4 linked regions of the Astyanax mexicanus genome follow. The protein of the gene in region 2 binds, or shares a complex with, the protein of the main gene of each other region. Links are inferred from orthologs where the notes say so. Each region holds a gene or a part of one and is shown on either strand. Other genes may lie near its edges. The genes, in order: tubgcp5, tubgcp2, nme7 and tubgcp3.

What was found.
Region 1: tubgcp2 (region 2) and tubgcp5 share a complex: the UniProt entries of both Homo sapiens proteins name them as parts of the gamma-tubulin ring complex. The link is inferred for Astyanax mexicanus from reciprocal best matches to the Homo sapiens genes TUBGCP2 and TUBGCP5.
Region 3: tubgcp2 (region 2) and nme7 share a complex: the UniProt entries of both Homo sapiens proteins name them as parts of the gamma-tubulin ring complex. The link is inferred for Astyanax mexicanus from reciprocal best matches to the Homo sapiens genes TUBGCP2 and NME7.
Region 4: the proteins of tubgcp2 (region 2) and tubgcp3 are in contact, whole or in part, in a cryo-EM structure (PDB 8Q62), measured with the Homo sapiens proteins. The link is inferred for Astyanax mexicanus from reciprocal best matches to the Homo sapiens genes TUBGCP2 and TUBGCP3. Residues at the interface, in NP_006650.1 of Homo sapiens: Gln172, His173, Pro175, Ile176, Phe177, Pro178, Trp180, Arg184, Ala186, Leu187, Ile188, Gly189, Phe191, Leu222, Tyr223, Val226, Val228, Asp229, Gly230, Arg231, Glu278, Ser281, Phe283, Gln287, His290, Ala291, Ala294, Arg297, Val300, Lys301; in NP_006313.1 of Homo sapiens: Glu272, Asn273, Cys274, Ser286, Leu287, Asp289, Thr290, Val292, Arg293, Glu296, Trp299, Ser361, Thr363, Leu364, Arg365, Leu368, Val369, Tyr372, Lys375, Ile376, Lys379, Ala382, Ala383, Asp386, His387, Ala402, Tyr403, Lys405, Thr406, Gly407.

What each region holds. Positions count from the first base shown.
Region 1 is NC_064412.1:18,779,492-18,787,035, reverse strand, and holds the start of tubgcp5 (gamma-tubulin complex component 5), read left to right. Parts: upstream 1-4,523; 5' UTR 4,524-4,660; intron 4,661-5,774; 5' UTR 5,775-5,775; coding exon 5,776-5,909; intron 5,910-6,027; coding exon 6,028-6,081; intron 6,082-7,161; coding exon 7,162-7,270; intron 7,271-7,544. Other genes in the region: chst7 (carbohydrate sulfotransferase 7), read right to left, coding at 3,028-4,311. UniProt on the Homo sapiens protein: Component of the gamma-tubulin ring complex (gTuRC) which mediates microtubule nucleation.
Region 2 is NC_064422.1:23,249,650-23,256,715, reverse strand, and holds the start of tubgcp2 (gamma-tubulin complex component 2), read right to left. Parts: upstream 3,024-7,066; 5' UTR 2,930-3,023; intron 1,846-2,929; 5' UTR 1,819-1,845; coding exon 1,669-1,818; intron 1,492-1,668; coding exon 1,363-1,491; intron 1,261-1,362; coding exon 1,084-1,260; intron 965-1,083; coding exon 805-964; intron 543-804; coding exon 335-542; intron 1-334. UniProt on the Homo sapiens protein: Component of the gamma-tubulin ring complex (gTuRC) which mediates microtubule nucleation.
Region 3 is NC_064412.1:46,691,437-46,699,296, reverse strand, and holds the start of nme7 (nucleoside diphosphate kinase 7), read right to left. Parts: upstream 3,001-7,860; 5' UTR 2,871-3,000; intron 2,603-2,870; exon of another isoform or gene 2,509-2,602; intron 2,393-2,508; 5' UTR 2,275-2,392; coding exon 2,272-2,274; intron 1-2,271. Other genes in the region: zgc:172121 (homocysteine S-methyltransferase YbgG), read left to right, coding at 3,401-3,472, 5,427-5,494, 5,603-5,775, 6,633-6,736, 6,831-6,992. UniProt on the Homo sapiens protein: Possesses an intrinsic kinase activity. Displays 3'-5' exonuclease activity with a preference for single-stranded DNA. Does not seem to have nucleoside diphosphate kinase activity.
Region 4 is NC_064428.1:26,418,657-26,425,482, reverse strand, and holds the start of tubgcp3 (gamma-tubulin complex component 3), read left to right. Parts: upstream 1-3,819; 5' UTR 3,820-3,978; coding exon 3,979-4,054; intron 4,055-6,739; coding exon 6,740-6,826. Other genes in the region: atp11a (phospholipid-transporting ATPase IH), read right to left, coding at 1,685-1,723. UniProt on the Homo sapiens protein: Component of the gamma-tubulin ring complex (gTuRC) which mediates microtubule nucleation.

The sequences.
Region 1 (7,544 bases), on a different chromosome or scaffold from region 2:
TTGTTTAGAAGAGCCAATGGCTGTTGGTTGTCAAGGCAGGAATTCCGAAATTTTCATCATCTGGCCTTTCTTAATGATGATTATAAACAAATATCTTGGGGGTGCCTTACATTTGCATGGTACTTCTTTTTTTCTCCTTACTTCAAACAGAAAAAAAACAGAACTATGAAGTATTTGGTATTTAAACTGTAGCATGCCATTGTACACAGTTTATTTTTATAGCTCACTTTCTTATCTTTTTCTGTTGATATGGAGGCACCTCCACCCTCCAAAACCACCCCTTTACCTTTTTTCTCTTCTAGCCCTGATTGGTTGCCAGATAAAGAAAGCAGATGATGATGATCTGAACTACTGTATGTTGACTACCACATTTCACAATTGCTATATTGCGACAAAACGTAACTTTCCTGTCAGTCATGTTATAGTGTTGAGTTTGGAGGAACTGAGAGAAAATGCTGCTCTTTTTAGATGTTAGATGTCTCGTTATCCTGACCTAATACTTTTTGATCTATGCATCACAGCTCCTCTCTCTGGTTCCTCTTTATTTTCAGCTTTTACAAAATACTGTGTGGAGCTTGTTTTAGTTCATTGTTTATGGATTTAATCTCTTCTTTTGTAATGTAATCTGATTAGTTCAATAATGCTGCTGATGGAACAGACATTAAGGAGCTCTTCTGAACTCCGAGGGATTCATCCCACTGTGCCAAAAAAGCACATGCACTGTTTTTTACTGAGCAGTCGCTTCCCATGGGACTCTGTGGAAAATAGGAGGTGGCAGGCAGTTGGGAAAACAGCATACGGTAATGTGTACACTGAATAGTAATAAGACTGGACCTGTAATATTAGTTTAAATATGCTTTATATGGTATTTCAAATGAGAACACTAAAGTTCTTTGTTAGAGCCAATAAGAAACTAACACAAATGTACAAAACCCAAACAAAAGCAGCTCTGCAAACACTAACAATGGATTTGTTAAGGGATGTCAGTCAAGCGATTCAAAAATGGCTACAATTGTGGCTACAACTATATACAGCTATGGTGTATAAACACAGGGTAGTATTGATGGAGGTGGTGGAACAACACTGTTTACTGTCAGACTGCCTCCTGGCAAACCGTCTCCAAAATCGTACCAGGACTTGCTACAGCTGGACAACTTGATGACCTGGAAAACCTTCCAGCAATTTAAGCAAACCCTCATGCTGACCTATGATATGAACATTTTAGTTATAGTATATAGTTGGCATGAACTGCTGTCTGCTGGAGAACTGTGAACCAGTATTGGTGTTTCTTTTAAGACTTCATTTGAATTTAATTGGTCCGACTGACGTATTTTTCAACTGATAAAAAAAATTACACTACTATACTGCAATAATAACTACAATACTAATATTGGTATACTGTTAGGACTTCTATATGACTGTCTAGTATGATAGTATTCCATTTTGGCATATGCAAAATCTATGTACACATATCCCTAGGGTGATTATCCTCTCGTATTTGATCTTATAATATAATAGCAAAATGATGCAATAACAGCCTTTTAAAGAGCATTCATTTTTGATAGGATAGACAACAAACCAGCTCAATCTTCTTAATGTGATCTCCTTTGAAAAACAGAGATCAGGGATCTGATTATTTTTACCATATTATAATAAGAGCAGTGGCCTGTTGCGCTGTATGCTGGAGTGCTGGACTCTCAGTGTGTATCACGCCACACTGCTTTTCCCCACGCAACACACACAGGAAAGCGAAAGTGGTGTTGTCATGCACTGTAATAGAAGTTACAGAGTGTCTGTTTGGTCTGATTAAATGATGTGAAGATTAGAGTAGCAGTAAAACTGTACTCCCTGTGTGAATGTGTGTGTATAGCCTACTCCCTTCTCCTGACAAGAAATATATAGAAAAATATAGTAAAGCTTCAGTATCAAAAAATAAAAAATAAACCACTAAAAGGTACACTCTTCTAGTTTACACTATGATGATGCTCAGTCACCATACCTCATCATTTCAGACCAGCAATTCCCAGTACACTCCTCTGGGACCTCCAGGCTCACCTGTACCAGGTAAGTAGGTGTTTCTAGTTGATTGGATCAGCTGTGTGGAGATTTCAGCAGTAATTAAGCTGAAGTCAAACTTCAGTGAAGTCACACACTGCAATGTTTGTGTGTTTGGTGCAAAGACTTTTCATTATTTAATATCTTGTTGATTATCCAAATGACTGTACTTATGTGGGTGTGAACAGTTTATTCTGTAACTTTCAAAACTACCCAGATATTATACAGTCATTATATAGTACTATTATTACCACCAGGGAACATTTAAACTAAACAAGCTGAATTGTTTAAATATACACAGATATTTAATTTGTCTGAGAGGGCTGAATAGGAAAAACACAAGTATGCTTAGGTCCCCACAGGTGTACACCACCTGCAGGTCTCTAAGGACTAAGCTGACGTTTATTATCTGTACTAGCTAAATGTGTTAGATCATGACTGGAGCAAATCTCTAAACCATTTTTAGGCCGTGTGACACACATGACCTAATTAAAACTTTCAAGCACACCCAAAAAGCGATTCACATAGATGCATATGCCACTCACACAAATTTTGCATACATAGAAGACTAGCTCGGGTTTCCACACACCATATATGTATGCCATTGCTATTGCTGTCTGCTAACTAGCTTGGTGGGATGTTTGATTATTGTTTCTGGTCAATGCAGTATGCCTACTGATTCAAGCATATGGTATTTTTAGCGAGGGTATTCAGAGGTTTGGAGCCAAGGGAGGCCAGCACAGATTTATGCTGATTCCTCTGTCCTAGCACTAGAAATTTGAAAATAAACGAGTGGGATGAAGTTGGGCTTGTTTGAGCAGGTAAAGCTCAAAAGTGTGCTGGAGTTTAGCCCTCCAGGATCACTAGATCCTCCTCAGTGCTCTACTAGACACTAGAGTGAAAATTATGTAAACATCAGCCCACACAAACACACATGCTCAGACTCCACGGTTCCTTCTGCTTACTTGTACTCTACGTCTGGTCCGGGTTCCTCTTCTGGTAGCCCAGCTGGCGCATGACCTCGCTGCAGTAGGCCTCCACCTGGTTGACCTGCTCCACGTTGAGGCGCTCCCTCCAGGCGTAGATGGCTTCTTTGGCGTCCCGGGACGAGATAAGGAACGGCTTGTCCGAGCTGTATCCTCGACCGCGCGTCATGTTCAGCACGAACTTCTCGAGCTCGGGCGACACCGGCAGGTCCGAGAACCGGTACAGCCGCCGGAGCTCGTCCACGGGCCGCAGCACCAGGTCCTCGTAGCGTATCTGCATGTAGTTCCTGCGCAGCCACGGCGGCGCGTTGGCCACGAGCAGCATGTCTCCGAGCCAGCCGTCGCAGATCAGCTCCATGGCGCTGGCCACGTAGTTCTCGGCGCGGTTGGCGCGCGCGCCGGGCGCGAGCAGGCGGCGGTAGCGGTCTGCGTGCTTTTTGCTGCGCAGCACCTGGATGCTCTCGCGCACGAGCGCCAGCTTGGACTTGAGGCGCGAGTTGTGCACGGCGCGCGGGTCGCGGAACAGCTGCACGACGCGCAGGTTGAGCGCGGGGTCGCGCACGAGCGGAGCCAGCACGCCCACGTCGAGCACCCGCACGTCTTTGATCACCACGGCGCGGTACTTGCGGCACTCGCGCTCGAGCTCGGCGAGGTCGCGGGGCGGGCAGCGCGCGCACACGTCTCCCTGCACGAGCCCCACGTCGCGCTTGCTGTAGGCGGCGCACAGCGGCTCGGAGCAGATCACCTTGTTGGTCTTCCAGCCGAACACGAACGCCGTGCTGACGTTGGCCGCGCCCGCGTACAGCCGCAGCACGGAGAAGTCGCAGCGGAACAGCGAGCTCATCATGTCGCGCACGGCGCCCTGCAGGCTGGCCGCGTCGCCCGGGTACAGCGCCTGCCACATATTCCACATGGGCTCGTAGAGGTAGAAGACGTCCGGGTGCTGGTTGAACAGCTCGCCCAGGAACGACGAGCCCGTCCTCCACGTGGCGTGCAGATAGATGTGGATCTTGGTGTCGTTCCTGATGCCGCCGTCCTCGCCCGCCGCCTCCGTACCGTTACCTCCTCCTCCGGCTCCTCCTGCCGCTCCGCCGCCGATGCCGCTCCACAGCGCCATAGTGTTCTCCAGGTCGGGGCACCTCTGCTGCTGCACTGCATGCTTGGCGTGAGCCGAGTGACCGCGGTAGTCCAGCACGTACGGGACGAGCAGCAGCAGGACCGAGTAGGCGACGATGAGGATGATGTACTTCTTCTGAAGCCTCCTCTTCATTGCCGCAGCGCTCGGCTCGGCGATCCACTCGGATCTGGCGCCCCCGGTACACACAGGACTATCAACAGCCCTCAGCTCCGCTACTTCTGGAAGAGGGGGAGGGAACAAACACGCCCACACCACAGAGACAGAGAGAGAGAGAGAGATAGATAGAGAGAGAGAGAGAGAGAGAGAGAGAGAGAGAGAGAGAGAGAGAGACAGAGAGAGAGAGAGAGAGAGATAGAGAGAGAGAGAGAGAGAGAGAGAGAGAGACTGTAGAGTACACTAGCAGACACACAAACACAACATAAAGGCCAGCAGCCTTTAAAATACGAGCTCACAATCAGCAAAAAAAGAGAAGAAACTACAGGTAAAACAAAAGTTCATGATCAGATAAGCTACCTAAAATGCCTGTGCCTAGAGAAAAAAGCAAGATAAGAAAATCACAAAGCGGGTGCCAACATCAGGCAAAGACCAAACAGAATAAGACCACAAGCACACAAAATAGAATCCTGGAAAAACAAAAAAATGCAAAATATGAAAGCACAAAAGTTCACAAATAGGCAAAATTCCCAAATCCAGAAAATAAGTCGGTTAATAAAGACAAGGTAAGGGTGCATACCAAAACCTTCCCAAAATAATCGCTTAACTTCTACGTTTTTCAGGAACCACAAAAATGTGACATTTGTTTAAACATTAGCAATGGTTTAAAGAAGAATAATTGGACTTAGGGTTTACTGAAACATGATAAAGAGTCCCAGCAGCTAGGTTACTTAACTTATATAGCGCTCCATTGCTATCTATTGTTCTTGAATCCTCATCCAATTCTGAGGAGGATGATTCACCCCTTCTTCTTGTAACTCTGTTCCAAAGGAAGGGGCTACAGTTTAAAACAAGGGGTAGAGGTACAAACTATTAATGGGATTGGGCTTCAAGATAGATGTCTATGGGCCTCAGTGTATCTGGGATCAGTTATAGCTAGGTTGGCTAGGAGGCGGTATAGAGCTGCTAATGCTTGATACGTTCGTGTTTAACCACAGAAGGAGCATCAAAACAGGCTGAGCGGCAAGAAGGAGAAACGGGCTGAACTGAATGAGCAGCGAATCAGTTCACTAAATCGAGACTGAACTGCGACAGGATTATTATAGCAAGCACTGAGTAAAGGGGGGAAATAACCGCAGCACCTGTGAATACTGTGAGGGGAGGACCTGCTCGCTGAGCTCGCTGGGTTAGATAGCCTGCTAGGTCTTAGCTGTATGACTGAAACCGCCGTTATGATGATGCTAAGCGGTTGGCTAGCTAACTTAGCTAACGATAGTAAGCAAGGTTCACGCTGTTAAAATGAACGTAGTGAAAACCTACAGAATCAGCTCAGCTAGACCTGTGAAGCCAGAATGGCAGTAGGAAGAGATATAAGAGTAATTTAAAATTTTAAAATCGTATTTACAATTGGCTAGTTAGCTAACTTAGCTAAGTGTCTGCAGGATGGCTCACTGGACCAAATTTGAGAAGGAGCTGGAGCAGGAGGTGAAGAGACTGATAGCACACATGACTGGCATTCAAGATGAAGAGGACCAAAACTTCCAAATGGCTCTCAAATTCGCCTGGTCAAATTTCAAGTAAGGACATGTTTGGCTCAGGCTGTATTCTTAAGCTGTTCATGTTTGTAATTATATGTTTTTTACTGTATTAAATTGTCCTTAAAGAGTTGATTTTTACTTTTCTTTATCTTGCCAGGTTTCACCGTTTCCTGGATGTCAGCAGCCACAATGTGCAGCGCTCAATAAATGGGTGAGAATAAGATTGTGTTTAATTTAATTAAAACATAACACAAAATGTAAGGAGATTTGTGTTTGGAAGATTATTTCTTAAGCCCTATCCGGACGCGTTTAATAACATAGCTATTTGTCATGTTGGGCGCACGTTTCCACGTTTCCACACAACAGCGAATGGAAATGGAGGAGCTGCTGAACGCGATGTCATGTGACTGCAAAAGTCTCAAAAAACTCACTGGTCCTCCTGTTTTTTCAATTTCACTCCAGATGCAGAGGTTTTACCACTAAGTGAAAGTATGAAATATTTTTCATAGACATCCTCCTGAGAAACTAATCCTATCTGGATAGGGCTTATGTTGTAACAATACTTCTTGACATTAAATCTCATACAACTATAAAGCCTCTTTATTATTATTTTTAATGGAGCCACATTTCTAAGGAACACATACTTTTGGGATGAGCAGCAGTGCTGAGTATGTGGATTGCATGAAAAATTGGCCAAATATTCTTATTCTTATTATTATACAGCTTATTTTGCTATTAACCCTTGTTTTAAGCCACTGGTTCCCCCGGGTGCTGCCTTATTAGCAGTGCATGTGAGCATGGGCTATGCTACTGTGGTCAGTTGGTGTCTGCTCAAAGTATAGGCATGCTACATTTGTCTGATCTGGATAGGGACCATGTGGAAGGCCAACTTCAAGCTGGTGTTCCAAAAAAAAAAGTTGCAGCGTTATTTGGAGTGAGCCATAGTAGCATCTTCAAATTAAAGGCTAAGTTGAAGGCTACAGGGGATGTCTGTAAAAGTTAGCGGCCCAAGAAGATGGTCAAACACCAAATTAGTCAAGAAGAGGACAGATGAGCTGTTTGGCAATGGCAGAGAGGAATGGCAAATTTGTCACGGGCACAACACACATACTCAGCTCTGCTGCTTATCCCACAAATGCATGTTCATTACAAATTAAAGAGAAATTAACAGGCTTTCAAAAGGTATAAGATTTATTACCGAAGAAACAAACTACCAGAGACACATGTTCTTACCTTTCCAGCTATGCTTAGTTTACAAACTGATAACATGTTCACCTCTTGCATTTCTTAGAATATATGAGAAACTCATGGTGCACTCAGACCTGTGTAAAGCAGAGAGCTGGACACGACTGACTGAGGAATTCCTGAACTCCCCTCTTCCTACTGCTGAGGGTACCATGGTAAAACACTCTAAAATCATACTAGATTACTTTAAAACATTAAGAAACCTGCAAAGTATACACTACCAGTCAAAAGATTGGACACACCTTCTCATTTATTGTTTTTCTTTTATTTATTTTCTACATTGTAGATTAATATTAAAGACGTGAAAACAATTAAGGGACACATATGGGATTACTTAATAAAGATTTAGGATAAGCTGGAGCTTTTGGAAGGAAAAGCAGCGACTATTGTTCAGCACCTCCAGGAACTTCTTCAAGATGCTGAGGAAAC
Region 2 (7,066 bases):
GGAAATAAATGCTAGTGTAGCTGTATTTTCCAACCTACCCTAAAAAGAAGAAATGCGCAATCATCTTTTATTTGTGTCAGAGAGAGTGAGGGAGTAAGTGAGAGACACCGAATGAGAGGGAGAGAGAGAATGCTTGAGAGTCTTCATCACAGCGGTGCTGATACAGTTTGGAGGAAAGTAGCGAATGGCTTGATAGGTAGTTTGCTGGATTAACGTTCATGCTAAACAGCGGGTTTGACACTGTAGAAAACTAAAATGGAGAAAAGTACAGCAAACAGTATAGCTATGGATCAAGACATCTCTATTACAGAGGGAAGTCATCCCTTCTACTAACCGTGTGATTGTGGAGTAACAGGATGCCACTGGTAAGACCCGGTTTACCAGCTCCTTAATAGACATGTCCAGAGAAGGGTCTACTATGAAGGAGCGACTCTGTCGGCCAAGCACAGGCTGGGCTGTGACGTCTCTTCCATCCACACCAATAAGTACGTACAGCAAGTCTTCAACCAGAGCCTGCTCCTGGACAGGCAGTGGCATTGTCCCTGTGAAGACATAATTAATAAACAGATTTTTATCTAAGAATTGTAAAAGTTAAATTAGGTTGAGAGAGATAATGCAATAATGAACCTGCCTAAAAAGAGAAGAAAAACAAAAAATATAAGCATGCAGGCTGAGGGCTTGCATGTGTTCCCCTATAAGCACATAAACACTATATGCACTACTGGCATGTAGCATTGCCAATGGCAGACTATTTTTACTAGTTGTGATTGCACTACACTAAACACATGAAGTTCATGAGCTTACCAATCGCCACAACTGGATCCCCCATTGGTGTAGGACTGGTCATAAAATCTCCAATAAGTGCAGGTCTGTCATACACCCAGTTTGGAAACACAGGAATAGGCTGTGTGGGATTCTTCTTGTTGTGTCTGTCTCTTAGCATCTTACGAATAACTTCAGCAGACTGAAAAATAAAACATTTCAAAGTCAGTCTGAGCAGCTTAACATAGATTTATTATACAATACCATTGCAATGTTTTATTTTAGAGAGGATTAAATGTTGTTTGTTAAATAAGTAAACACCTGGGGAACATTGGTGCTGGCTGTTACATTCCCAAGCTTTTTGCGCAGTTCCTCCAACTCCTGCATTGACATCTTGGTGCTGGTGGTGGGAATACTGAAGGATGTTGTGCTGCTTGATGTTGCATTTGCAGACATCTCTGATCTCTCCTTGGCATTTTGTTGCAGACATTTCAGGGTCTGGGACCAAACACATTTCACATTCGTTAGGTAGGCGTCAAAAAAAAGGTTAATGCAAATACATTACAATATCAGGCAAAAATACATTTATTAAAAGGGTACCTCTTTATCTTCTGTGAGTTTTGAAAGAAGGTAAACAAGTGGATCCAAGTTGCGTGCATTTTTTGACTTCAGTTCTTCATATTTCCTCAAAAAGTCCTCAGGTGTTTTAGAGTGCTCTGCAATCTTAACCTGTAAAAAGACTGCAATTTTAAATCATAGAGCAGCAAAATATATATAACTTACTGTTGACTGAGCTCTTTAACCAAACAACGTATACAGAAAACTTCCAGACATTGCATTATAGCTAATTTTACTACAACTTAAATCACAGCTTATATGCATTTTATTTAATATCCCCATCCCTACCTTAGCACTGTGTGCAGACACTGTAGTGGTGACATATGGAGTCCTGTTCTTCTGCAGTAAATCAATATAGACCTCAGCCCCATCTCCTCCTCGAACATGAAGGAGGCTGAGCAGTTCGTTGACATCATGATGTATCCTGAATTCACTCATGGTGTCACATCGACCACCTGCAATAGCCTAAACATTTTTTGGGGTTATTTAACAACAATTATATGACTTTATCATACATTCTTCTTCAGCTAAAAAAAAAAATCGATAATTGGGGTTATTCAAGAAAAAAAAAATCTAATTCACATGGGAGAAATTTTGAGACCACATTACACTTAAAGAAAATATAAGCCAGGTTTTCCTAATTGCCACAAAATGTACAAATACTGCAAATCAGAAATTCAATGATTTCAGAAATCTTAACCCCCTATGGCATGAATTACATGTTTCTGGAGGAAAAGATAGACAGAACGATAGAACGATAGAACGATAGAACGATAGATAGATAGATAGATAGATAGATAGATAGATAGATAGATAGATAGATCGATAGATAGAAATACAGACAATCTGATAGTATGGAAAAGTGTAATAACCAAAAAAATGGTGTGTTGCCTCAGAGCAACTTTATGTCATAGAGGGTTCAATTGTAGCGTCATTTCTTCTACTTTACTTCAGATACAGTATTGTTAACAGAAATCAATCATGCTTTTTCCCAGTGAATATTTTCAGTAAAGGAATTCCAATAAAATCCCAGCATTTCTCATATTGTACAGTATTAGCAGCTACGACAGAACAGCTCACTGGCTAGCTGGTCAAAGTTAACAGCTTAACGTTACATACCGTTAGAAAACATGGAGCATCAACAGATTCAAAACACTGCGGGGTAGACAGCTATGGTTACCCAACTAGCTAGCTAAGTTAGCTAAATTACATCTAAATTCATTAGAGAAAATGGACACAAATGGGTTCGCAGACTGCAAGCAACACATTAACTTTGGTCAGTTGTTTCTAGCCAACAAACATAACCTAGTTAACTGGCAAATATAGCCAATGTCCTCAGTTAGCTTAGCGTAGCTTACTTAGCTAACGTTACAGCAGCTCCTCTGCCTAACTTTAGCATTAGCTCGTTAGCTGCTAGCATCAGTGAAGGCGGAGGGTTTATTTGACCAAAAACAGGCTGTTGAGTAAAAACAGACATTTAATCAGCTGAAACGCGTCTTAGCGCACACGATATATCTGTAATAAACATTAGAAAAACAGTCAGCCTTACCTCAGTTGCAGAAGCGCGCAGCTATCGTGTAAATAACACTGACATTGCTAACTAACAAGATATCAGAGACTCTTATTATTTTTTCGAAGAACCGCCAAAACGACCGCCGTTACAAAATAAAAGTCTCTTACTTGGAGGATAAAAAATATAGCTATATACTTGAGCTGTTGGGTAGGTAACAGCATGTGCTGCTCTGAGCAGCTGGGAAAATGATAAACAGATGAGTGGGGAAATAGAGGCTAAATGAGGAGATAAGGCTGTAATTGATTAAGTAATTACATTTACAAAGGACAGATAATAGATGAATGATATTAGCTAAGTTACATAAGCAGAGCTCCCCAGAGAACATCTCTTTTAGTATCACAATTTTCCATATTTGTTTTTCTACATGATGTTAATTGTTAAATGTGTTTGTTCTTTACAAATCCTGAAAAATACTTTAAAATATTTGAAAAAAAAGCTTTAATAGTTGAAACATAAAAATACATTACAAAGAGATGGAACTTGGTGTATTTGGTCTAGACAAGACTGCAGTTGCAGTAGAGATTAAGATAAATAACACTGGGCTTTATCTATGCCTGCTACAGTCATCTGCAGTTAATGTCTACAAATTACTAATAATGCTTCTGATTCAGTTATGACCTGACTACAACAAGCTGGATTGACATTTCTGCTGCCTCCAGTATATTAACTTTACTTGGATATTACAGATACTGTATTATTTACAGCATGAGTTGTTTACACCTATGAACACCTTTCCAGTCTAATCTATAAAACCCACTACATTTTTTTCATTTTGGCTGAAGAACCAAAACAGCACAGAACAACTTTCTTAACACCAAACTAAACACACTTTACTGAATTACCTGTTGTTTTCCCTTTTGCTCATATCTTAAATTAGGCTACGTCTACATTAAAAGCCATATTTCTTAAATCAGATTTTTTGCTCAGATCGGATTTGAAGGTTCACAATCACAAATGTAAGTGCCTGTATCTGTGTGTAATGTCAACGAATCTGTCCCTGAAACGTCTCACATGCGCACATTGATACCTGTATAAACGTCAACTTCACCAACAACAAAAAAACATCATATTTAAGAGACGACTCGTAGCTTTATAAAGGTGAAATGGCTGCTTCAGCAGCTCATATGTGGAGCATCTTTTGCTCAAGTGGAGAGCAAACAGCTCATTTGAAGTACATGCTCAGGTCAAGAAGGTGAAAAAAGGGCAGGCGGCTTTCTGCACTAAGAGATGTGTTGATACGAGAGAGAGAAGCAAGTAGCGCATGCGTAAAAGAAAAAAGATGCATGAAATCCGATTTGACCATTCACAATTATGTCGCATGTCTATGGATCAGATATGTATTCTATTTAGGACCACATATGAAAGTGACTCAAATCTGATTTGAAAAAATCTGATTTGGCACGTTCACACAGCCATGAAAAAATCAGATTTGAGTCACTTCAGCCTGGTAATGTGAACATAGCCTTTAGAGGCTTAGGATTAGTGTTAGCAATAACATTATCAGTGTTCAGTATTGACTTCCACAACTGCACAGTTCAACATAGGACACAAATCTATATAAGGCTAAATCTTTGCCTAGTTGATATAATAATGGTAAGTTATCAAAACTTGAAAAAAAAAACCCACAACACTAAAACAACCACCCTAAAACATCTCTTTCAAAACAAACTAACATCACAAACTAAACTGAAAGTCCTTTCTTATTATCATCTATTACTTGTTTACTAGAAGCTACCAGTAAAAGCAGCCACCAAGTTACTAACTCACTAACGGCCTCTTCAAAATAATACGCTGGAAAAACTGACTGCAGTTCCAACATAAGTTAAGTTTGTAAAAATGTTTCATAAAGAGATCAGGGTAGAACATTAAAACCACAGATTTCCCTACTATAACTGTTCTTTCCAAGTGTTTTCTTGTTGAATTTATTGGTTTTATACATTCACAGATTGCAACATTTCCCAAATGATTACATGTCTGTGAAAAGGCCATGGAAGTTATATAAGGCACAATCTCTGCCTAGTTTACAACATGATGGTTAGTGGTCAAAACCAAACAACCACATAAAAAAATTAAAAACTAACACCACAAAACCTGCTTGACAACCCTCCAACCCACTTTGATGATTCTGCCATTTAATGCAACTCTCAGGTGTTAATGATGAAGACATGAAGACAAGTAGTTCAAAAGCATGTAACTATTTTATTAGAGCAAGCTTTCGCACATTCTACCTAGCATCTGTTACACTCTCAGATCTATGTAAATGAGGTGTATTGTGGGGGATTGATTTGTTCTTCAGCATCAGACTGTATGTCAGAGCTGAGCTGTGAATAGAGAGCAGTCTAATATCTGTCCCAGAGCACAATGCATCACGCTACCTCCTGGGACGTTTCTCAGTAGGATTAATGACTCACCGCCAGCATTACAGAGAAAAAAAGGAAAAAAATGAAGTGCCATCTCACCAATTCATTCCACATCCCACATGACGCCCCCCCAATGAGCTGATCTAGTCAGTCCCCCCCAATAAATTATGCTTAAAAAAACACAGACAATGGAAGAAGAATAGAGCTGACTTTGTTGTGCCTCAGTCAAATCCCAAGATCTTGCTAAGATGATTATTAGGCATATCAATGGTAAGAAATGAGAATCACAACAGTGAAATTAATAAAACTTCTCTATCAAATGCTTGTTCTTCCCTCAAATTAAAAATGAAAGTCGAACTTAATAAAGAGACCTCGAAAACATAAAAGAACCAATGCTCCGTGGACATTAATATGCGGGCAGAAAGGGTTTCCTGACATTTTTATGTACCTGAATTCAATGCCAGTGAAATACACTAAGCCTTGTGGTTCTTAATCCTGGTCATGAGACCAGAGTACCTCTGCTTGTTTTAGTGTTTTCCTGCTGTGGGTGTAACCGCTGTGACTCCCCACAACTGTGATATATATCAAGCATACCCTGCACATAAACTTCTGACCACAGCTGTATACTGACCACTAATTTATGTTGAAATGTCTGTTTAGAAACATCCAGGTCACTTTTCTAGCCGTGCATTTTCCAGGTAAATACCTAAAGCATAATCTATGATTTAGCAAAGAACATCAGGTTAAAATGACTGATACAGGCTGTGAGCAGCATGGTTGGAGGAGTGATGGAGTCTGCAGAGTGTCCCATCACTCATCTCAGTATTACTACAGAGAAGACCTGAGATTGACGATGCAGGAAATTAATGCCCTGCAAAAACTGCTAATGCCATGAAATTTTACATAAGCTTCCTGAAAGTTGATATTTGGCCGCACTGTGTTAAGAGTGCTCTACTCTACGGTGTTTCAGTGAGCTTGGCAGTTTTATACAGTTGGAACAGGAGAGTCGGTTACACAACTTTTTTATAAGACAATTTCCAGGACATTTGGAGAGGGTTTAGACATGCACTTCTTCATCCATCTTCTACATATTTAGGCTCTATTCTTTTTGCTCTATAGTTATAGAACTGTTTGACAGTTCATACAGCTTTAGGCTTCCAGGCCTTTAACCTATTCTTCCAACAGCTAATAGATTTTTTCTCTCCCTCCCTATCATTGTCATGTAATGATTTTGTAGTTAAACCCTTTTGACATTGAGTTGTTGAGCAGAGATGTATGAAAGAGGACCGAGACAATTCTCACTTGAAGCCATTCTGTTTCATAGCAGCCAGTCTGCCATGAGTAATAAAGGGCTTTGCAGGTTGCAGTAACCTTTATTATGACCCAAATGTCATTAAGGAGGTACTTATTATCCACTTGAGTTGGCTAATGTTTTGTGAAGATGATAAGCATTGAAGTATTTGCCATATTTTTACCTGACCTACCTTATCAGCAACAGAATAGAAGCACAGATCAGTGGTCTTGCAATTGTTTTCTACATTCTATAAAAAATAAAGATGAACATACCAATGGCTGTAGAAAAGAATGGACTTTACAGCGTCTTTCAAAAGTGAAACCACCACAGTTCCAGCCCCTCTGATGACTGCACTGTAACCAACTGCTGATTTTTTTTTTTACAGTAAAATCATACAGTAAATAACTGTTTTTTTTCGTTGAAAAACTGTAGAACTGTGAACTGTACAGTAGTCTAAGA
Region 3 (7,860 bases), on a different chromosome or scaffold from region 2:
ATTTGGCTGTCTGTGATTCTTCGGAAAATAGATATATATTTCTAATGAACACTTTCAACAATCACAGAAAAAAAGAGAAAAAAAGAATTAATATATCCATAACTGTCAACTACTACTGCACCTGGTATTAATACAAAACCACAAAGCTGATCAACCTGTAGCTGTGTTTATAATAGGGTATAGCTGACATCTAGTGGCAACCCATGAACAGTCCCACACTATTATCAGAGAACCCGAGCTGAGAAATAAGTGTATTACAGCCTTTTCTTTCATTGATAATACCATATAAAAAAAACATATAGCTGCTAGCATTCCTGCTAGTGAAATTTAATTAACACAAAATCAGAATAACCTAGACTGTTTATTTTTGGTTTAAGATGCTGCACGTCCTGTTTAAAAACCTTTATAACAAAAACTCTAGGAAGATTTTTCTTCTTCTTCTTCTTATTATTATTATTATTATTATTATTATTATTATTATTATTACTGTTGTTGTTCTTATTATTATTATTATTAATATTAACATTAACATTAACATTACATTAACATAACATTAACATTAATATTATTATTATTTGGATTTGTGTTCATGTTTTTTCTTTTTATCAACATAACAACATTTTTGTATTATGGAATTTGCAAATTGGTCAAACAAAGCTTTTGTTGAGCACTATTAGGATTAACGTAAGCCTACATTTATGGTCTCAAAATGAACCCAAAAAAGTCTAAAGGTTTGGAAAAAAAAAAGTCTAAAGGCTTTTCTTCCTGTACTAATTACAAGCATTATTCATTCATATACTGCATGTATAATTACTTATGTTAGCTTCTTATTATGTGGAATTATGATGGGGACTTTGTTATAATTAAATTGGAATTATAAGATTAATATTAATTCTGTAGATTTTAGTGGAGGTTTAGTTCACGTGGAAAAATGAATGAGCTGCATCTAGGCCTTTTTAATGTGTGAGCATTATTTACTTCACATAATGTTGGTTTACATGAATTATGTAAGTTAATATTCCTGATTTCTGATTTTAGCTCTACCTAGACCTTAAACAACTATTTATTAAATTAGATTAGATTAAATGTTGTCATTGTGAAGAGCACGGGTACAGAGCCAATGACATACAGTTAGCATCTAACCAGAAGTGTAATATACAGTGTTAGTTACATTAAGTGCCGTAGTAACCATAACAGGTGGTACGTAGTAACAATATATATGGAAAAAAATAAGAGACCACTTAAAAATTATGAGTTTCTTTAATTTTACCAAATTAATCACAAGTCATCAAATCAAGCTGAACTGCTTGAATTTCTGCACCAGGCGTGGCATAAAGTTATCCAAAAGCATTGTGTAAGACAGGTAAAGGAGAACATGTCAAGATGCATCGAACGGTAATTAAACATCAGGTTTATTCCACCAAATATTGATTTCTTAAAACCTTTATGAATATGAACTTGTTTTCTTTGCATTATTTGAAGTCTAAAAGCTCTGTATCATTTTTGTTATTTCAGCCATTTCTCATTTTCTGCAAATAAATGCTCTAAATGACAATATTTTTATTTGGAATTTGGGAGAAATGTTGTCTGTAGTTTATAAAATAAAACAACAATGTTCATTTTACTCAAACATTTACCTATTAATAGCAAAATCAAAGAAACTGATTCAGAAACTGAAGTGGTCTCTTATTTTTTCCAGAGCTGTACAGCTGCTAAAGAAATGCAGCATAGACTAGGAGCAGCAATGCAGAACAAGGGTTGAACTGTAAGAGCAGTGCAAGTAGACAGTAATACACAGAATTGAAAAATAACATATACAGTAGAATAATATTAAAGAACATTACTGTGCAGCATGAGTAACACTGTAATAGGTTTGGTAAAAATGAATAAAGTTCATAAACAGTAAGCTAGATTAACTACAGAAGGTGTAAATATGCAGATAAGTGGCAGTGCGAGTTTTTACAACAAACTTTTGTGCAGAAGTAATTTGATATTTATCAGAGCATTTAGTGCCAGTTATGGCAAATATATGGAGCAAACAGTAAAATTTCAGCGAGTTAGCCAAGCAGCTATTATAGCTAAGCTAACCTAGCCTAGCTAAGATAGCTAACAACAGTGCTACAGACAGGCGTGCGCTCTGGCAGCAGCTGCAGCTAGCCAGTGTTAGCGCTGATTATTAATCCACCCGGAAATAAAATTATAAACTCTTTAACTGCGATTAAAGTACCGAACATGCCATCCCAGCTCCCCTCCCGCAGTAATGTAATGTACCATTCTCGCAATCCAGGCTCTCCAGTATCCTCGGGCTGGGCTGGTTTAGGTGGTTTGTTGTTTGTTTAGCAGCTAAGGGCTAAAACTGCTTCTCCCACAGCGTGCCTATCAGCCTTGTCTCCTAGCAACAAAAACCCATACAAGAAATAAAAGTCCATTTATGTCAGTTAATAGTTGTATTTAAAATAATATATAATAATAATTAAATACGAAATAACAAAATAAATATATTTATACCAACAAACAGACACGTTTCCTTCTAGTTTGTATTACTAAGGTTATTCAGTAAATGTTACTACCTTACGAAAGTCTGCAACCCTAATGTATATTTCTTTAAATACTTAATTTGCAAGAACAGATAAGGTTATGTGTGATACATATATCATACATGTATCATACATTTTTTTTTGCAAATTAATTTTTTGGTAAAGCTGGCTAAATAAAACAAGAAACAGGAAATTTAGACGGGCTGAATGCTCAGAAAATCTGAATTATAGACAATATTTTTACATCTTAAATTATTATTAAGTACTTCAAATACTTTATTTATTTTAACATGCTACCACTGTCTACAGCACTCATTTACTAATTTAGTTTACCTCACTGAATCTATACAATAGTCAAACAAACACCAGCTGTGACTACATTTCTCTTAACGACTTAATTAACGACTTAATTTTAACGCAGTAAACTCAGATAGTATAATCTGCTTGTTAAAATTGGAAGTAATAAGTAGCTACACTAAAATCTGGTCGCGCATGCGGAGAGCCCCTAAGTAGCACATGTCGATGCGTAGCACAACTCGACAGAACACCGGAAGTAGCTCGTAGTATGACCGGCGCTCACACGTGGACTTTGTTATGATTAAAATGGGATTAAGATTAATATTTATTCTGCGGATTTTAGTACAGGTTTGGAGCAGAGGAGGACAGTATGAGCTGCAGTTACAGTAAGTGCTTAGTTAAGAGTGAGACTTTGATATTAATATATTTAATTAGTTATATTTTACTGTTATAATTATGAATATCATCCATATATTGTGTGTTTTATAGACTGACTGCGAGGAGAAGCAGAGTTTAAAATCTTAAACAGTTCGTATATCAAAACCCAGGCCGATCAGGAGACCAGCATGACCAGCAAGCCTCTGATACTGGACGGGGGTTTGGCTACAGAACTGGAGGAAAGAGGATTTTATCTACAGGTACTGAGAGCTTTAGAGAAGCAGACATAGAATAGGAGAATAGAACCAAAAAATACACCAGGGGTGTGTTACAGGGAACATATTAAGAAAAACAGGAAAAACAACAGAACATAGAAAATATGATACTGAATTATTTGATCACATTAACTATAATCAGTGTTCAGACCCGACAAAAACCTGGCAGAAAATTATTTTTATTTTATTATTTAAAGTGTTTATTTGACCATATTACCAACTGAACACTTTGCATATTCAGCTTTATTTTTGTATCATATTTGTAATTATTTTAAACCACAATTTAACAAGCTGGATCACTGACTTAAGGTACAAATGTGTTTATTATTTTTATACTGCTTGTTGCAAAAGAGATACATATTACAAGGTCACATTTGTCAAATAATGTTGTAGAGGTCTCAATCTTACATTCGTATACATATGAAATCTAAAGCATTAAACATCTGAAACCACTATCTGTTACCATAACAGTGTGCAGTATCACTACTAGGCCTGTCACTATAATTATTGACTATGATATAATACACAAACATAACCTCAATCATTTTTGCAGACCTCAAGATTATTCATTGGTCGCAATTAGTATAGCAAGCTCATTAATGTGAATGCTCTTGTATGTTGACTTTCTTTTTAAAAGTTTATTTCATTTTATTTAGGTTGTAGTATGTTAAGTATTTAGTATAGTTCAGATTGTATTTTTGACCTTGTAATATGTATCTCTTTTGCAACAAGCAGTATAAAAATAATAAACACATTTGTACCTTAAGTCAGTGATCCAGCTTGTTAAATTGTGGTTTAAAATAATTACAAATATGATACAAAAATAAAGCTGAATATGCAAAGTGTTTAGTTGGTAATATGGTCAAATAAACACTTTAAATAATAAAATAAAAATAATATTGCATAATTGCAGTTATTCTCACTTTTTATTTTTCATTTACAATAATACAGTTATATTGTATTATTTACAGTAATATTGAAGACATTAGGGCTATACAAGAACACATGCGGAATTATCTTGTTAAGAAAAAGTGTTAAACAAACCAGAATCTGTTTTTATCTGTTTTATACTTCTATTTTATTCTTCTAAGTAGCCAAATCACCATTTCAGTTGATCAGGTTAAGATCGGGGATTGTGGAAGCCAAATGTCTTTAATATTAATCCACAATGTAGAAAATAAATAAAAAAAGAAAAAAAGAAAAACATTGAATAAGGATACAGTGCCTTGCAAAAGTATTCGGCCCCCTTGAACTTTTCAAACTTTTGCCACATTACAGGCTTCAAACATAAAGATATGTAATTGTATTTTTTGCGAAGAATCAACAACAAATGGGACACAATCATGAAGTGGAACGAAATTTATTGGATATTTTTTCCTTTTTTTAGAAATAAAAAAACTGAAAAGTGGGGTGTGCAATATTATTCATTATTAAATATTTTTGTATCCAGATTCGGCTTTAAACTTCTCCACAACAGTATCTCGGACCTGGCTGGTGTGTTCCTCGGTCTTCATGATGCTCTTTGCCCTTTAAACAGAACTCTGAGACTATCACAGAGGTTTTATACGGAGACTTGATTACACACAGGTGGATTCTATTTATCATCAGTCATTTAGGTCAACATTGGATCATTCAGAGATCCTTACTGTAGTGAGTTTGCTGCACTGGAAGTAAAGGGGCCAAATAATATTGCACGCCCCATTTTAAAATATCCAATACATTTTGTTCCACTTCATGATTATGTCCCACTTGTTGTTGATTCTTAACAAAAAATAACAATTTCATATCTTATGTTTGAAGCCTGAAATGTGGCAAAACGTTAAACATTTCAAGGGGGCCGAATACTTTTGCATAGCACTGTAAAGGATTAGTATTTGATTATGATTCTGTGGGACTTATAAAGCATTATCTTTTTTTATTCTGGGACATGTTTCTGCAGGAGGATCCGTTATGGAGCGCTAAAGTCCTCTACACAGACCCACAGGCCATTAAAGATGTGCATTACAGGTAATTCCAGCATGTTTCATTCTTCCCTCATTGTGTCTGAATCTGCAGTCAGACTGTGAGGATGATGATGAGCTTGTTTCCTCTGTGTGTGTCTGTGTTTGCGCGCAGGTTTCTTCAGAGTGGATCTGATGTCATCACCACAGCTACGTACCAGGCCACTCTGGAGGGATTTTTCAAACACCTGAAGCTGAAACCTGAACAGGCTGAGGAGTTACTAATATCCGGAGTTCAGATCGCTAAAGACACTGCAGCGCTCTTTACCACTAACTGTACAGCAGCAGGTGTGTGTGTTAGCATAGCCGTTTAATTTAGATTCAGAATATTTTTCAGAGGCAGACAGACATTGTTAAAAAATCGTGAGGCTATCTGAGATCATTAAAAGACCAGTATGTATTATTTTTTGTAGCAACTGAAAAATTAGACTGGATGCATGATCGAGTAACATGCTAAGCTAATGCTAAGTTTAAGTTCTAGGATTATCTCCTTAGAACTGTTTGTTATTGGGTGGAATTAGGGTTGAGCGGTATTGAAGTTTTTCCACCATGTTTAAAAAACCGTGGTGTACCGAAATACCGTCATACCGCCAAACACAAGGTGGAATATTTCTGTCTTTTAGCCTCTGGCCCCACGCTCTGCCTACAAGACAGATACTGCTAATTCTCTTCAGAACAGAGTAGTGCTGAATTTCATCTAACATTAGCTGGGTAATTTGTCACAACCGCTAGTTCAGGGATGAGCATTTAAGATAATTTCAACATTTTCACAGCATTTATACTCAGTGCTCAGCTGAGTGCAGCTGGGTTATCAAGGCAGTCATGTATTTAAGGTAAACTGACGGGACACAGCTGTTAACTCAACAGAGACTAATGTACACAAAGATACAACAGAAACAAAAAATTGAATTTATATTGACTCAGTTTAGCTTTGAATATGATTATACTTGATCTCATCTTGCACTGATTTGCTTTCAACCCTGCAGTCTGTGGAGGAGAATTAGTGGCAGTCAACTCTCTCTAGTGTTTTAAAATTATACTGCATTAGATATTTGTATATGCTTGTTGTCATTTAATACATACTGTTCCTTTAATTTTGTAGATTATGTTCACTGACAACTTTTTATTCTGATAAACGTTCACAGACAGAGCAGTGCCACTGGTGGCTGGTTCTGTGGGTCCATACGGGGCGTTTTTGAACGATGGGTCAGAGTACACTGGAAACTATCAGAGCCAGATGAGTGTGGAGGTAAGCCTGAATAAATCACTTTGTTCATACAGGAGTTAATAGCTAGCTAATTACTCTCAGACCCGGCACAAACCCCATGCTCCTGTCACTGCAGGAGCTGAAGGACTGGCACCGCCCACAGGTCCGCTGCTTAGTGGCAGCAGAAGCCGACCTCATTGCCTTGGAGACCATACCCTGCCTTAAAGAGGTGGAAGCTTTAGTGGGGCTGCTGAGGGAGTTTCCTAATACTAAAGCCTGGATGTCCTTCTCCTGCAAGGTACCTAGGCCGTCTACACACTCAACTGCCAAAAGTAATGTGGCAGGAACTAGTATCGTGTCCCATGACTTTTGGCATGTTTCATGTTAGGTAAAGAGAACTGCACTGAGCTGTATGATATGTGGGTGGGGTCTCCTGCATTGAATGTGGATAAGGAATCTAAATTTCTCTCAGAGCCGCTAGTCTCTGTTCACACAGACAATTCTAGCCGGTGGATGGTAATATTAGCTTTCTATGATGTGCTTCTTTTACACACATGACACTGTGGATGGAGGTATGTTAATTCACCTGCACCCACTATCAGACCTCACTTCCAACTTCCATAATTCACCTGCACCCACTATCAGACCTTACACCAACTCCCACAATTCACCTGCACCCACTATCAGCCCTTACTCCAACTCCCATAATTCACCTGCACCCATAATTCACCTGCACCCACTATCAGCCCTCACTCCAACTCACATAATTCACCTGCACCCACTATCAGACCTTACACCAACTCCCACAATTCACCTGCACCCACTATCAGACCTCACTCCAACTCCCATAATTCACCTGCATCCACTATTAGACCTCACTCCAACTCCCATAATTCACCTGCACCCACTATCAGCCCTTACTCCAACTCCCATAATTCACCTGCACCCATAATTCACCTGCACCCACTATCAGCCCTCACTCCAACTCACATAATTCACCTGCACCCACTATCAGACCTTACACCAACTCCCACAATTCACCTGCACCCACTATCAGACCTCACTCCAACTCCCATAATTCACCTGCATCCACTATTAGACCTCACTCCAACTCCCATAATTCACCTGCATCCACTATCAGCCCTCACTCCAACTCCCATAATTCA
Region 4 (6,826 bases), on a different chromosome or scaffold from region 2:
ATCTCCCAGGACTTTTGCAAACTACAGTATATTATTATTCAACTGACATTCTTCTCCTTCGTTTTCTTCTCACATCTTCTTATTACATTTCTGCCAAATTGTCACAGCGTGACAAATCATCACTTTTTAATTTTCAGAGCTTTTTCATGGGATGCATAGTTTTCATATAAATGAAGTCATGACTCTTTTTTTGGGGCGGTCCTGATGATTGTTGATTTTTGATGGTCTTTGCAACTGCACTCGAGAATACTTTTAAAGTTCTTTTCTGTACTTGCCATAATATGAATTAGAACATTACTCAGATACTCTAAATCACTTTATATGTTTTTCTAAATAGTAGTAAAAATGTAGTATATTTTACTACAATGCAGACCATTTTTTTTTAATAAAGAAAAACAATTAATGTACTTAGCTAGAATGTTATATCATGATATGAATGTTGGCAAAATCTTCCAGCCATACTTAGCTAACTAGCTAACTAGATAACCTAGCTAATACACATTAGTCACCTAACCTACAGCTCTGGAAAAAAAATCAAGAGACCTCTTCAGTTTCTAAATCAGTTTCTCTGATTTTGCTATTTATAGGTATTTGTTTGTTGTTGTTTTATTCTATAAACTACTGACAACATTTTTCCCAAATTTCAAATAAAAATATTGTCATTTAGAGTGTTTATGTGCAGAAAGTGAAAAGTGGCTGAAATAACAAAAATGATGCAGAGATTTTAGACCTCAAATAATGCAAAAAATAAAATAAAAAGAGTTCATATTCATAAAGTTTTAAGAGTTCAGAAATCAACATTTAGTGGAATAATTCTGTTTTTTTTTCATGCATCTTGGCATGTTCTCCTCCACCAGTCTTACACACTGCTTTTGGATAACTTTATGTCACCCCTGGTGCAAAAATTCAAGCAGTTCAGCTTGGATTGATGGCTTGTGATCATCCCTCTTCCTCTTGATTATATTCTTTATAACGGAAACTGTAGCTAGTTAACATTTTATCATGATATCAATTTTGGCAATAACGTCCAGCCATACTTAGCTAATTAGCTAACTAGATAACCTAGCTAAAACACATTAGCCACCTGACCTGGGTTACCTTGGTTACCTAGCTACATACAGCTGCTAATATATAACCTACAGTAGTAGCCCACTACACTACTACTACTACTACTACCACTGTCTTTATTATTTTTCTCTCTCTAGTATTTACATAATAAACCCTGGCATATGACTGTCTCAATTTGTTACTAAAGCTATGGATATACATTAATTAGCTGTGTGCTGTGTGTATATCAATTAGGTTAGTTAACGATAACCTAGCTAGCTGCTGTTTTTAGCTAGAGAAATATGGTGCTCACACTGGGGTTTAAACGGCTTTACTTATTAGTAAACTAACTAGCTAGCTGCTGTTTTTTAGCTGGAGAAACATGGTGTCCACGTTGGGGTTTAAAGGGCTTTATTTATTAACGTTAGTTAATTAACAGGCAGCAGCAGCAGCTTCAGCCTTCAGTCCTCCTGCTTCCATTCACATTCAGGAGAGTAACGTTAGAATAAAGAGAGAAAAAAGGAGAAAAGAGAAAGACGGAGAGAAAGAAGGGGCAGACCAACAAGTTGAACAGGTTAACTAACCTAGGTAACGGTTAACGAGGTTAGGTTAAGTAGGTAACGTTAACGTTACTCACGTATCTGCTGATGAGGTTCCTAATGGTGCTAAAATCCATCTTCTCCTGCCGGTCAACACCACCGCCTGCGTGTTGCTCCTCAGATCTTCTTCAGGCTGCGTGTGTGTGTGCGCGGTGTGTGAGTGTGTGTGTTGATAGAGAGGTGTGTGAATCGCTAGCTGATCTTCCTCTGCTGCTCCATGTCTCTGTTTCTGTCTCTGCTGCTGTGTCCGCCGGGACTGATACACACTGATACTGAGACAGCAGCAGGGCTGCACGGCTCTGACCGGGGCTTTATTTCTCTCCAGGTCGCGGTGAGAGCGCAGCGGCGAGTCCGGGCTTGCTCATGTTGTCTCGGGGCTCCGTGCGCTCACCGCCCCGCTGACCGCCGTTCAGTCTCCGAGTCTTCCAGCAGCCCTCCTCGAGTAGTGCTGAAGGAGGCAAGCTAGCTAGATACTTCTTCCTGGACAAGTGTTGCGTTCCAGCGGCTCTGCCGAGTCCTGTCCCCCTCTCTCTCTCTTTCTCGCTCTCCTTTTCTCTCTCTCTCTATCTTTCCCTCCCTCCCTCTCTCTCTCTCTCTCTCTCTGTTTCCCACCCATACACAGTCTATGCTCTCACCCCAGTACTAGCCCTCCATGCACAACCAATCACAGCCCTCTCTCCAGGAGCGTCACGGGGGGCTCGAGGCGCATGCGCATTCCCAGCCACTCCCACACCCTCCTTCCCGCCCTAACTTAGCAAGATGCTGTATTTATAAGCAGCTCCATAATACAGTACAGTAGCTGGGCCAGTATAGGTGTTGGAGTGAGCTTCAGAGCATGTAATCCACTAATTATAAACTAATTTACTGCAATCAAGCAATGTTCCAACATCCCATGTATTTTTCGTATCACTTTTGATTAATGTTTAATATAATAATATAATACTCTAAATGTTCTTTTAGAGCATCTCACACAAATCACTTGCCGAAAAAAATAAGTCTAGTTTTAATACAATTTAATGTTTTAATTGTTCTATAAATATAAACACTGAAAAAGATTTAATGTGAACACAATGTATTGTACACATGTAACACATGTAATGTACAATGTATTGTACACATGTAACACATGTAATGTACAATGTATGTGTTTATCTAGGTTGCTAAAACAGAAAAACGTATCATAACTGTTATACCGCAAATCATGCAACGCATTTCCAGAATGGTGCAGTGTGAGCCGCAAGTTTAATATATAGACTAAATATTTAAACTCATATTCAATAAAAAATATGTTATGCAGATATAAGTATACGGTAGCGGTCAAAAGTTTTTTACTGTTAATTTAATATTAAGACATTAAAGCTTTACATGAATGGGGAACTATTGTTAGTATTATTATTATTATTATTATTATTATTATTATTATTATCATTATTATTAATAAACAAAAAGTGTTAAACAAACCAGAATATTTAGAAAGTAAATTTTATTAAAATTAAATTAAAAGAAAAAAGTTACACTAAATAAGAAGGTGTGTTCAAACCATAAACTGTTACTGTACATATACACTATAGAAGTATACTAATACTAAAGCCAATGTGATTTAATAATCATAAAATGTAGAAAACAGATGCTTCACCTTTTTTACTAGCATCTAAAATACCGTGCAAATAAATGTGATTAAACTCTGTATATTTAGTTAGTTTTATATTTAGTTTAGTTTTGGGCAAAACAAAAACCAGACTGATACAGGTATTGTCACTGTCCATTAAAACCTTTCTAGCTATCTATTTTATTCATTTTTTGTAATTCTTGTAATTTAATAGTAACTTGACAAAATGACGCGGAATAAGCCATTTAATGTATTGGGTTATATTGCCCTTCTAAAAAACGGAAATTTGGAAATTCATAAAAATAAATATTGTGGACCTCCATAATAAGCATCAATTATAATAAGCAGTATCATTAGCAAAAAAATCTTATTTTTTCATAACAGTTTTTTTCAGTTTCTAAATGCATTATGTGTCTTTACTTATGCTTTCTGTGTGTATTTATTTATTTGATTAATTCATTATAACCTATCCCACAGTGGTCTGGATGTTCTTTTATCGGTAGGAACGAAAAGCTCGGAACCCTCGATGAGCGCTTGTTTCTCAGTGGGCCGTATTTTCACTCCGCCGTGTATTTTTTTCCCGCTCCGTTTCTAACCGAGGCCGCCTTTTCGGCGGGTTGTGTTAAAATGGCGAGCCGCTGGAGGAATAAGGAGAGCGGGCAGGACTAAGGTAGACCCCCCGGACCCCTGCGCTTCGTCTCTGACATCCAGAAAACGGGCAGGATGGCGGCTCTGGACCAGAAATCGCCCAATGTGCTTCTGCAGAGCCTGTGCTGCAGGATCACAGGCAAGAGCGAAGGTAACGAGCAGCGGAGCTAAGCTAGCTAACCTGAATAAGGTCCTCTATAGCCAGCGTTTACCACCGCACAGCTGTCTGAAAACACACGACTGCTTCGTGTTTAATGTGTGTGTGTGGTCGTTTTTCTTCAGCTGGACCATTTTTGACCATTAATGAGCTGTTTATCGCTGTCTTGCTTTAAGAGTTTTGTGAAAACGAGAAAACTGCAAATGATAACTGGGAACAGAGCTGAGAAGAGAATCTCTACTAGCTAGCTAGGTTACTGTCTCTGTAATAGTTTAAATTTAATATTAAATGTAATAGTTAAAAGTTTATAATGTTTAAAAGCATATATTGGCTATCTTTCTATCTTTCTCTCTAGTTAGCTAATTAGTTTCTCACCCGCTGTGGTCCATATCTCAAGCATCTTATCCTGGCTAGTTAGTTAGCAACCTATCTTGTCCAAGCTAGCCCAGGTTGCCAGATTGAATCAGAGAAGCAGTAAAGATACACTGACATGAGGAGTCAAACGCTGCCATTTAGACATGCATGCATGCATTGCTTTGAATGGAGTGATGGAGAAAAAAAATACAGTGCTCAGTGCAGACACACCTTCTAATCAGTGACTCATCTAGTCATCTCAGGATGCCACAGCTTGTATAATCTTAATTAAAAAGCATTGGCAATAGAATATGATGCTCATAAGTGTCACCTGTTCTACAGGAACTTTTTACCTGAGCAGAGAATCACCTCTCTAGAGATTCTGGCGTATATAAAACAAGTAGTGTCACTTGAAAAGGATGCAATGGAGTATAATGCCATTTAGGCCTGTCATGATGATTTTTTGTGTGTGTGGGGATGATATATTGCAATAAATTATATTATTGTCTTTTTAAGACCATATAAGTGCCACTGACTACAAAATGTTAATTAATCTTAGATTGGAAAATATATATCCTCTTTTTTGCGCCTTCTGCATTGGTCGTTACTAAAATACTGTTCACTGTTTTTATATCACAATCATCTAATATTATTAAGGGCATGTCCATTTATTGTATAACAATTCAAAAATATTATTATGTTCATGGCAGATCTAATGCCAACCATTAATTTGAAGATTTGAAGAGTAAAGGTATTTTCAGCACACTGGGAAGTACTGAAACATTTGCATGCAAGACTAATTTAGATATGCTCAAAAGCCAGGCATGAGCTGCAGGAACTAAGCTGTTAAGTTTTGGAAAAATAAAAACACCCAGACCTTTTGGAACAGCCAGGGAAATTTGATCTACACATTTTTGTGTTTCCATTTATGAACAGAGAAAATCTATTTTGAGCTAACAAATACATCGGTAAATCAAGTAATTTAGACCTACACAATGGTGCTCTTAGGATTTGACATGCATTTTACTATTAAAGGTTGTGCGTCAGATTAATTTAAGGCCTACTATAATCCAAATTTGATTATAGTTTTAGTTTGTTTTTGGTTTTATTGTTTATGCATTCAGTGATGTTTTAAAAATCGTTTGATCATAATAAAATTTGTCTTGAAGGCATAGAAAAGTCATGAAAAAAATCGTGAAAATTTATTGGTTAAAAGTTGTATGAATCTGGACCAGAATTTGAATCAAGGTTTATGTGTACATACATTTGGCCTGCTTTGTTTTGGTTCTAGACTAAATAAATAAATAACTTTGCTGCATACCGTTGTCGTCACCTACTATTTTTACAATTTGATTGTATAATGTTTTAATTAGGCGAGATGCCTTTACAGATCCTTTTGCTAGAATTCAGCGTCCCTTCGCCTGCCTGCACGTCCCACATCAGAATGAATGTAACTGATTAGCCTCAGATCACTTATCTCTGTTTGCAAGTACAGTTACAGTAGATACAGTGATTGCCAGTGTAATCAGTTCTGATGGAGTCGGAGGATTTTGGCACAGCACCAGTTCTTTTGCTTCTTCTGTTGCTGAATGGTTGACAAAGTCTAAAACATCTACTAACTAACCAAACTCATGTTCCAATTGATACAAACACCACCTTTTTTGGTCTAAAGGTCCACACCATGATTTGCAGCACCTTTTACACTTGCTTTTACACAAGTTAAATGTGAAAGCAGCCTAAGTTGTGAAGTACAGGAACTGTGTGGACCAATCAGGACTGATGGCACTCCATCTACCAGTCCAGAGAACTTTTAAGGAAAGCACTGGCAATAGAAAGGGATGCTCTGGGCCCATCTGTTGTAGAAGAGTAGAGACTGGTACTGGTACAGTAAAAGTGGGACACTCACTATTTCTACTCCCTTGTTTTTTTGGGCACATATTGCTTTCAAGGTAGTTTCATAATTATATTACAAGTTGTCAGTTTCCATACAGGACAGTACATTTGGCATTATCGACTATTGTATGTCAGCAGTAAAGAGATTTCTGCTCTGAAAGCTCTTCAGTAATATGACCCTCCTCAGAAAATGAGGTAAAAACGATTAGATAAATGCCTGTAGGATAAATATAGACCCCATATATGGCCCTTAATTTAACATCATTGGATGCAGTATTGATTACGTTAGCTACAGTATGTCTGCTTATTTGACATGGCGTCTAGCTTTATACCTTTTTATGTTTGATTTGTCTTTTATTGGGGACAGAAAAAAGGTGCCTTTGGGATGTTTAACACGTGCGTCACTGAGTTCTCTGACCTTCTTTTTTCCAGCTGATGTGGCGTACCAGTTTCAGTATGCTGTGCGGGTCATCGGAAGTAATTACGCCCCGACCATCGAGCGGGACGAGTTCCTGGTCT